Linked DNA regions of Nothobranchius furzeri. The protein of the gene in region 1 purifies or fractionates together with the protein of each later gene. This does not show direct contact. Links are inferred from orthologs where the notes say so. Each region holds a gene or a part of one and is shown in the gene's direction. Other genes may lie near its edges.

Region 1 (3,724 bases):
GCTATGTCAGGAACCAAAGGAGTATCTGAGTGCCTGGTAGAGTCGTGGCCAGGACTTGTGATTTTCTCATGCTGCTTAGTTGTAATTCGAAATAGTATGGGTAGATGTCTTCAACCAGCATTTGTAAAACTGTAGGAGTTGCTGGTGAGGTTTTTACATCACACAGCTGCTCTCCCATCCCCCAAGTGGATTAAATAATAGCATAAGTTGGCAAGATAATACTCTTAATGTCACTAATGTCCATGGGCGCCTTTTGGCGCTGATCAGTGATGTCATTCAATTCAATTCAATTTTATTTATATAGCGCCAAATCACGACAAGAGTCATCTCAAGGCACTTGTTTTCTGTGCAAATGTCATGCATCGTGAGATTGCTGTAATAGTCGTAATACGCTGATATGAAAATCCTGAAAGGGACAATTTTATCTGGAGACACGGCAGCTGAGCCATCGTACTTTCCCTCACCTTCCTGACATTCCTGATGGGGGTAACACGGTTGGGTTACAGAGGGAAGTACAGACATCCCGTGATCCTCCGACTCTCTCTAGCTCCTCCTAGGGATCCTGAAGCATTCCCAAGTGGAAACATAACTCTTCCACCAAGTTCTGGGTCTGCCTCAGGTGATCAGGAGTCGTTAAATGTCTAAACCACCTCGACTGACTCCTTTTGATGAGAAGAAGCAGGAACTCCCATTTTTTCTGTTCTTATTTATGACACCCATTGAAAGACGTATAAGAAGGTCACCTTTATTTGGGATCTTGTCCAATACATTCTCCTATTTTCCAAATCTCATGTAAATTTGTGAAAAACCTGTTTTATAGTTTCCCATTGTTTATGTTGTTATTTAAGAATTGCTATTTTTTAATTCTCCATTCATTTCTTGGTTCTTATCATCTGTAACAACTAGGGATGTCCTGATACAACTTTTTCACTTCCGATACCAATATTGCAGCCTTCATTATTGACCGATACCGATACGATTCGTAGTGTGGAATGTGTGAAAGGCTTGATCAAGTGATATTACTCAATCGAAAAACAAGAACCAATAACAGTAAGTTTGAAAAAAAAAAACAATTAGTTTTTAACCATTGGTTGCTAAAATGTGAACCTTAACGGATTGCTTATATCGGAGATTTTTGATGCAGTCCGATATAATCCGATACAGTGTTTTTGGGTCGATAAGGAATTATTTTCGATATCGGAACGAGACATCCCTAGTAACAAAGTAAAGTCCAAAACAAACTGCTTTTCCGTTTTGGTTATGTAAAGATCAGCTACAAGTTTGATCATTTCTGTGCTCAGATGTGGAGAAAAGGAAGAACCCAGTGTGTGGGTTTGTCACGCCGCTGGAAGGCTCGGAGGCAGAAGCACATCGGAAACCTGAAGTGAGCGATGTCTCTGAAGGGAGAGGGAAAACGTTTATTTCTTTGCAGAAGTCCCTGAACTGAACTGAGTTTTCCTTCTGGGTGACAGGCGATCATACTGGAAGGCAGTTACTGGAAGAGGAGGATTGAAGTGGTGATCAAAGAGTATCACAAGTGGAGGATTTACTATAAGAAGAGGGTGAGGTTGCCTCCTTTAAACATTCAATGCTCAATATGGAAATATTTCCTCTAGCACAGTTTTATTTAAATGTTCCAAACTGCATAAATCTGGGTTTTATGATAAAATCTATTATAAATGGAACAGTCATTTTAGAGTTCTAACATTTTGGAAAGAGCAAAAACCACTTTCAGCCAGTGAGTCGATAGAGAATTATACTGATAGTACCAGGCCCTTTCTGCTTGAGTCATGGAGATATGACATCACTTCAATGTGATTGGATGGTTGCAAGATTTTTAGCTCAGCTCTGAGATCCACCAGAACCAGCTAGACAAGAGAAAATCAGGACCTGAAGGTGATGGAGCAGCTCAGGGTTTGAAGAGGAGTTATGTCTTCAGCATGCATGAGTTCAAACGGGAAGCTGCTTTCTGGTGTTTGATGATTATGTCAAGGCAAGTCAAATTAAAGTGGACTGAAAGCACCTATTGGACCATTCTGTGGTCGGCCTCTCAGAACCACCACACTCCCCTGGGTCCTCCACGGTTCATCACACACTCGTGTATTTAGCAACAGATCACCACTGGTGTGAGAGGTTCTCCACTCAATAATATCAGAACAGGAGAAACAGCCGGCTGCTATCACTTCAACTTTAGGACAAACTACCAGAGTCCCAAAAAGAAAAACACAGTTTGATACGGTGGACCATCAGATCCTTTTATCCTGCCTAGAGCATGACGTTGGCATCCTGGGCTCAGTGTTGCAGTGGTTTAAGTCCTACCTGACAGGACTTTTGCAGTAAATATGGGGCAGTGTTGTTCGTCTCCAGTGAAACTTAGTTGTGGTGTCCCTCAAGGTTCAGTTTTGGGCCCGCTCTTGTTCTCGCTGTATCTGTTGCCTCTTGGCGCCATCTTTCATAAGCATGGCATCTCGTATCACTTCTTTGCGGACGATGTGCATATATATGTCCCACTACATTCTCGAAGGCCATTGTTTGACAAATTACTGAATTGTCTAAAAGATGTTAAAACTGGCTACAATTGAACCTTCTCACTTTAAATGACCAAAAGATGTAAATTGTCGTTTTTGGGGACCCTGGGCTGTTGCACGGGGTAAACAGTGTATTTGGCCCATTAGAATCCTTTTGCGTGTCTCAGGCAAGAAATCTGGGTTTTTCAATTGATGGCCATTTTAAACTTGATAAACAGATAAGTTCTGTTGTCCAGAGTGTGTTCTTTCATTTGCGTGTTCTCAGTAAAGTCAAGCCCTATTTACCACTCAAAGACTTTGAAAAGGTTATACACCTGCTAATCACGTCGAGATTAGACCACTGCAACTCTCTTTATCATGGACTGGAGCAGTCGCCAATTCACCGCTTGCAGGTGGCTCAGAATGCGGCAGCTCACTTGCTGACAGGTAGGAGACAGGTAGGAGACACAGAGATCACATAACACGTCTTACAAGCTCTTCACTAGCTCCCGATCACTTACCGGATTCAATTTAAAATGCTACTGATCTGTTTTAAGGCACAACACAATTTGGCCCCTCCTTATCTGTCGGAACGTTTAAACACTCATGTCCCCAAACGAAACCTTCAATCATCCGCTCTACATCTATTATCTGTTCCCAAGTCTAGGCTGAAGTCCAGAGGCGACAGAGCTTTTTCTGTGGCCGCTCCCAAGCTCTGGAACAGCCTTCCCCTACAGATTGGGTCTGCTAACAGCCTTTCTGCTAAGTCTCTTTTAAAAACCTACCTTTTTACACTTGCTTTTAACTGATTTTATCGTTAATTAATTTTTGGGTCTACTGGATGGTTCTCAGTGTTTTATCATTTTATTTTAACTGCTTGTCTGTGTACAGCACTTTGTGCAGTCTCTGATTGTTGGAAATGTGCTATATAAATAAACTTGACATTGACATTGACGCAGTTGGAAGTCACGTACAACAAAAGACGTTTGAACCTAGAAAACGGCCTTGCACTATCCTGTTTCCTCCTGCATCGCTGGTTTCTGGTTCAGGGAAGATGGGTGAATGACTGATAGTGGATTGGACTCTAGAAGGTGCTATATCAAATACAAGCCATTTACCATGTAGACAATATGTCAGTTATTTTTCTTGCTAAGCCCACCCCCTGTCCTTTAGAGCCCCGTGCAATTTTACTTGAGCACGGCTCAGCATTAGCCAAG
Region 2 (4,239 bases), on another chromosome or scaffold:
AAACTCACCAGCACTGCCTTGAAGCGCTCCTCCAGCTCCTCCTCTGGGGGCATGGGAAGTTTTGGGGGAGCCGGCTGCTTCTTCTGCGGAGTTAGCGTGGGGTCACTCATTGTTGAAGCTGCCCCGACGGAGTTCCTGGCCTCTCTGCCCTCAGTCGGCTCATGCTCCGAGCCCCCTACAGCCACATTCCCCATCACTAATCTCCAAATGTAATCCAGGAGGAAAGCTGTACACAAACCCCTTCACCTAAAACAGAACCAATGTACTCCAAAGCAGAGTGACCAAAGCTGACCACTCCAAATGACAAGAAGCAAGTCTGAAACCGTCAAGGTGAGGAACTCCAAACTCTAATTCAAGGAATCCTCCTTTGTCCTGAGGAAAGGGTGGATGGTGAAAAAACAAGGTATGCATTCATGTTTGTCTCCTCATTAACATCTCTTGTCTACAGGTTTCTGTCAAAGTCAAACTCTTTGTTAGGGTCTGCTACGAGAAATACTCAATGCACCTACGTCGCACCACACTGGCTGACTGAGAACTCCTCTGCTTGCTGAAGAGGCCAGTATGTGAGAGGAAGGAGAATGTGACACACTCTGTCACACAGACAGAAACCACAGAAGCACAAAAGCAGAAGAGTAACTTCCTGTGTGTGACTGCAACAAAAACCTGGTGTTCAAGACAAGGTGAAAGATAACTGTCAGCACTTGATACAGAGCCCAACATGAAAAAAAAACTAACACAAGACTAAAAAAGCTGGGTGGTTTATGTTTAACAAATATTAATTAAAAATACCTTTGCCCTGAACCCAGAGTTTCTTGAGAGTAGCCGCTGCCAGATGTATGTTAGTCACATCTGTTTGGGTGTCTGATGATCTCAGGTCATGTCAATAAGGTAAAGACAGGTTTATACCATCAAACCAGGTAAAACAGCGTCCTCGTGCGTTCGAGGCTAGTTACTGCGTGTAGTTATGCTGCGTTTGAGGTCTCATGGCTGTTATCAGAAACTTATGTATCTAAATTTTGTAATTCAACAATATCAAATACTTTTTCGAGACAATATATGATAACATTTATTTATTTATTTATTTATTGTTACAGTTATTTTCAAGCACTCTCAATAACGTAGGAGTTTCATTTGTGTACTTTCTAAACCAGTTTGTTGCTAATATTAATAAACAGTTGATGGCTTGTGTCTGTGTTGCAACAACAGAAGTAAACGTGTTCAGCTTTTGAAACAATATTTTTGTCTCTGTGCTTTTAGTCCTCTAAGACTAGAAGAGAAAATAGGAATTCCCGGGTCACGTGAAGGCAGCAGCACTATTAGTTTTTTAGCGTTTCAAAATGACGGACCCAGAGGAACACTGGAAAGTAAGTCACAAAACCCAACTTTTTCAGCCCTTGGTTCGTATCTTTGCGTTTGTGAGTGTGGAGTAGAATGTGATCAACTGTTTTCTCAACGCTAAAGTTGGAACATGGCTTCAAAAGCTAGCTAACATTAGCTTGGTGACGTATTGTAGCAGTTAGCCAGCATGCTAGTTAAGTAAACAAAGCCTTGAAAACGGAATTGTTTTTCCATATCAAATGAAGTCGTTTAAAACATATATTTACATGCACAAACAGCCAAGGAAATATGGTTATTTAGAACTTTTTGGCGTATTCTTAAAATTAGTCTGAAAATACTTTTTGGGTGACAACAGCAGCTGTATACAAACTAATATGTTAATAATAAAATATAAAAAAAGGCACTGTGTATTTTTTCTTGTAAGTTGTTTAATAGTCGATTAACAGTATTTTAAATCATTTTTATCTTCAACCTTCAGAGCAATGTTTATACAGGACTAATCCTCACATGTCTGATTCTTTATTTGCTGAAGACTGACGAGGCCTTTGAGGAGTTTCTCCCCCAGAATCAGGAGGAAATCTAGGCTAACATACATAACTACATAAATAAAAACACGGACTGTTGTGTTGTGCTGCACTACATCAAACAGCAGATCTGTGATTGAAGCAATTTTATCTTCTGTTCTTGAATTGGACAAATCAGGACAGTGCTCAGTGGGGTTTGGATTGGCTTGCTGTTTGTGTTTTGTCGACATATTTAGGGCAGCACACATTTCCCCTCCTCAACCCAATCTCACAGCTTCTGGTTTCCTTTTTCTTCTTCTTGGTGATGGCTGGACAGACAGACGGGGCTTTCAGTGACAGTGGGTTTGACACAAGTGAGTCATTTTTACTTTTCTAATGAATGCTTTTTCATTTTCACATAGCACATGATTAATTAAATCATTTTTGTTAATGGTGGGTTTATTTTTAACCCTTTTTATAAAATCTGGGTTGTTTTCCAGGTTTCTTTGCTGAAACTGCTAGAAAGGGAAGCATTGTTTCCAGAGCCAACAGTATCGGCTCAACCAGTGCCTCTTCAGTACCAAATACAGGTATCGTGTTTAAAACACAGATGATTTTATCTTGCTGATAGTTTATAAGTGTGAACGTGCCTTTTGACTACTCCTTATCCTTAAAGAAAAGGTTGAAACAACAAATCACAGAGATGGTGCCTTTATTTATTTTGTTTCCTGTCTCACATTCAAACACAAACCTGTCTGGTGAGTCTTGATGGTATTTCGTCTCATGCTTTAAAATCTAGTCTGGGAAGGTGAACTTGCCATATTTAATAAATAAACTCTCTATGTTCTACCTTTTTGCATTTGCTAAAAATCCGTCTATAATTTGACCGGACTGAAGCAAACATATATTTGCTGCTGAAACAGAAACAGCCCTGTGTTATATTGTAGAAGGAGCCAACACAAAAATGATGCAAGTTTTCATTCGATTTTAAGATTTACAAAATTAAAAACATCCGTCCATTTTTTCTCATTTTAAACTTGATTTAAATAATTTCTGTTTTTAAACTGACACCAGATATGTAAGCAAGAAAATAATTGCAAATGAGTTCATTGAGAGTACAGATGTCAGAGGCTTGTTCCCAAACAGATGATGAAGACAGCGATTACAGGCACGAGACGTCATTTAAAGACTCCTTTAAAGATCGCCGGAGACAAGCACACACTCAAGCTGAGCAAAAGCGCAGAGATGCAATCAAGGTAGGACTTCAGGACTCCAACTGACACACTTTATAAGAGTTAGATTTAAAATTCTGGCTGTTTAAGAGTTAATATTGATTTCTATGTGTCATTAGAAAGGCTATGGTGACCTGCAGTCCATCGTTCCTACGTGCCAGCAGCAGTCTGAGTTTGCAGTTGGAGCCCAGAAGATCAGCAAGGCTACTGTTCTGCAGAAAAGTAGGAACCTTTTGCAATTTGAACATTTTTACACTGAACTGTTGGTAGAAAAAAAGAACTCTGTACAAACAATAATAAAACCTTTTAGTTATTTTAAAATGTGCAGGTTATGCGTGAGACATGATGAATAGCCCTCCCTGCTGCTGTTCTTCAACTTTATTAGCCATAAAATAACAAATCAGACACTGTTAATAGGCTGAGCAGTTTGCATATATTTAAAGTAAACCTCCAGCCGCTGCCTGGGGAGGCTCCGACTCGATCTCTTGATCAGGAATCATTCGGAATCAGGTGGGAAAGGACGTGACCTTTTACATTCATCCTTATACAAATTTTTAAACTGAATAACAATGGCTTAGGTTGAATTTGAACAAGTTCTGCTACGTCAATATTCTTTGTTTCATAGAGAGAAACGTCACAAAATTTACAGACGTGGAGTTCAGACACTATAACATGTAGCTGTTAGCTAGCAGGCTAACACAGAGCTAACGTGTCGCCGTCAAGATGGTTGCAAACGTCGGGTCTCCTGGAGCCGCGGTGAGTTTCCTTCTCGTCACACGCAGCTCTGCAGGTGTTGAGCAGAGAAAAGTGAGTCTGCCGACCGTGCACATCATGCCATGCACATCACTCAGCACGGCGACGAGGCACCTTATCTGTTATTAATAATATATTCATATTATTAACATACTTTTAATCAATTCACTTCTTGAACGAGTGATTTATTTGGCAAATAAATTAAGGAAATGACAAAAATACCAGAAGAAATAAAGATGAATAATAAAGAGGAGAACTTGGATGTATTCTTTTTTCTTATTTTAATTGCGTTGCTGAAGTATCGGATCGGGACACGGTATCAGCACATACTCGCAATCACATGACTGGGATCAGGAGAACATAAACGTTCTTGTTTAAACAAATGCTCATTTACAAAATGGAGAAGTTGTAAC

What was found. Proteins that work in one complex are often made in the same cells at the same time.
Region 2: the proteins of carbohydrate-responsive element-binding protein (region 1) and mlx purify together in Homo sapiens (affinity purification with western blotting; 3 studies listed by BioGRID and IntAct, counting the BioPlex papers as one, with this or other methods). This does not show direct contact. The link is inferred for Nothobranchius furzeri from reciprocal best matches to the Homo sapiens genes MLXIPL and MLX.

What each region holds. Positions count from the first base shown.
Region 1 is NC_091750.1:66,106,819-66,110,542, reverse strand, and holds part of carbohydrate-responsive element-binding protein, read left to right. Parts: intron 1-1,301; coding exon 1,302-1,384; intron 1,385-1,472; coding exon 1,473-1,562; intron 1,563-3,724. UniProt on the Homo sapiens protein: Binds DNA as a heterodimer with MLX/TCFL4 and activates transcription. Binds to the canonical E box sequence 5'-CACGTG-3'. Plays a role in transcriptional activation of glycolytic target genes. Involved in glucose-responsive gene regulation.
Region 2 is NC_091745.1:7,588,656-7,592,894, reverse strand, and holds the start of mlx (max-like protein X), read left to right. Parts: upstream 1-1,264; 5' UTR 1,265-1,337; coding exon 1,338-1,364; intron 1,365-2,098; exon of another isoform or gene 2,099-2,166; coding exon of another isoform or gene 2,167-2,178; coding exon 2,179-2,215; intron 2,216-2,341; coding exon 2,342-2,431; intron 2,432-2,987; coding exon 2,988-3,097; intron 3,098-3,192; coding exon 3,193-3,295; intron 3,296-4,239. Other genes in the region: fmnl1a (formin-like protein 1), read right to left, coding at 9-194. UniProt on the Homo sapiens protein: Transcription regulator. Forms a sequence-specific DNA-binding protein complex with MAD1, MAD4, MNT, WBSCR14 and MLXIP which recognizes the core sequence 5'-CACGTG-3'. The TCFL4-MAD1, TCFL4-MAD4, TCFL4-WBSCR14 complexes are transcriptional repressors.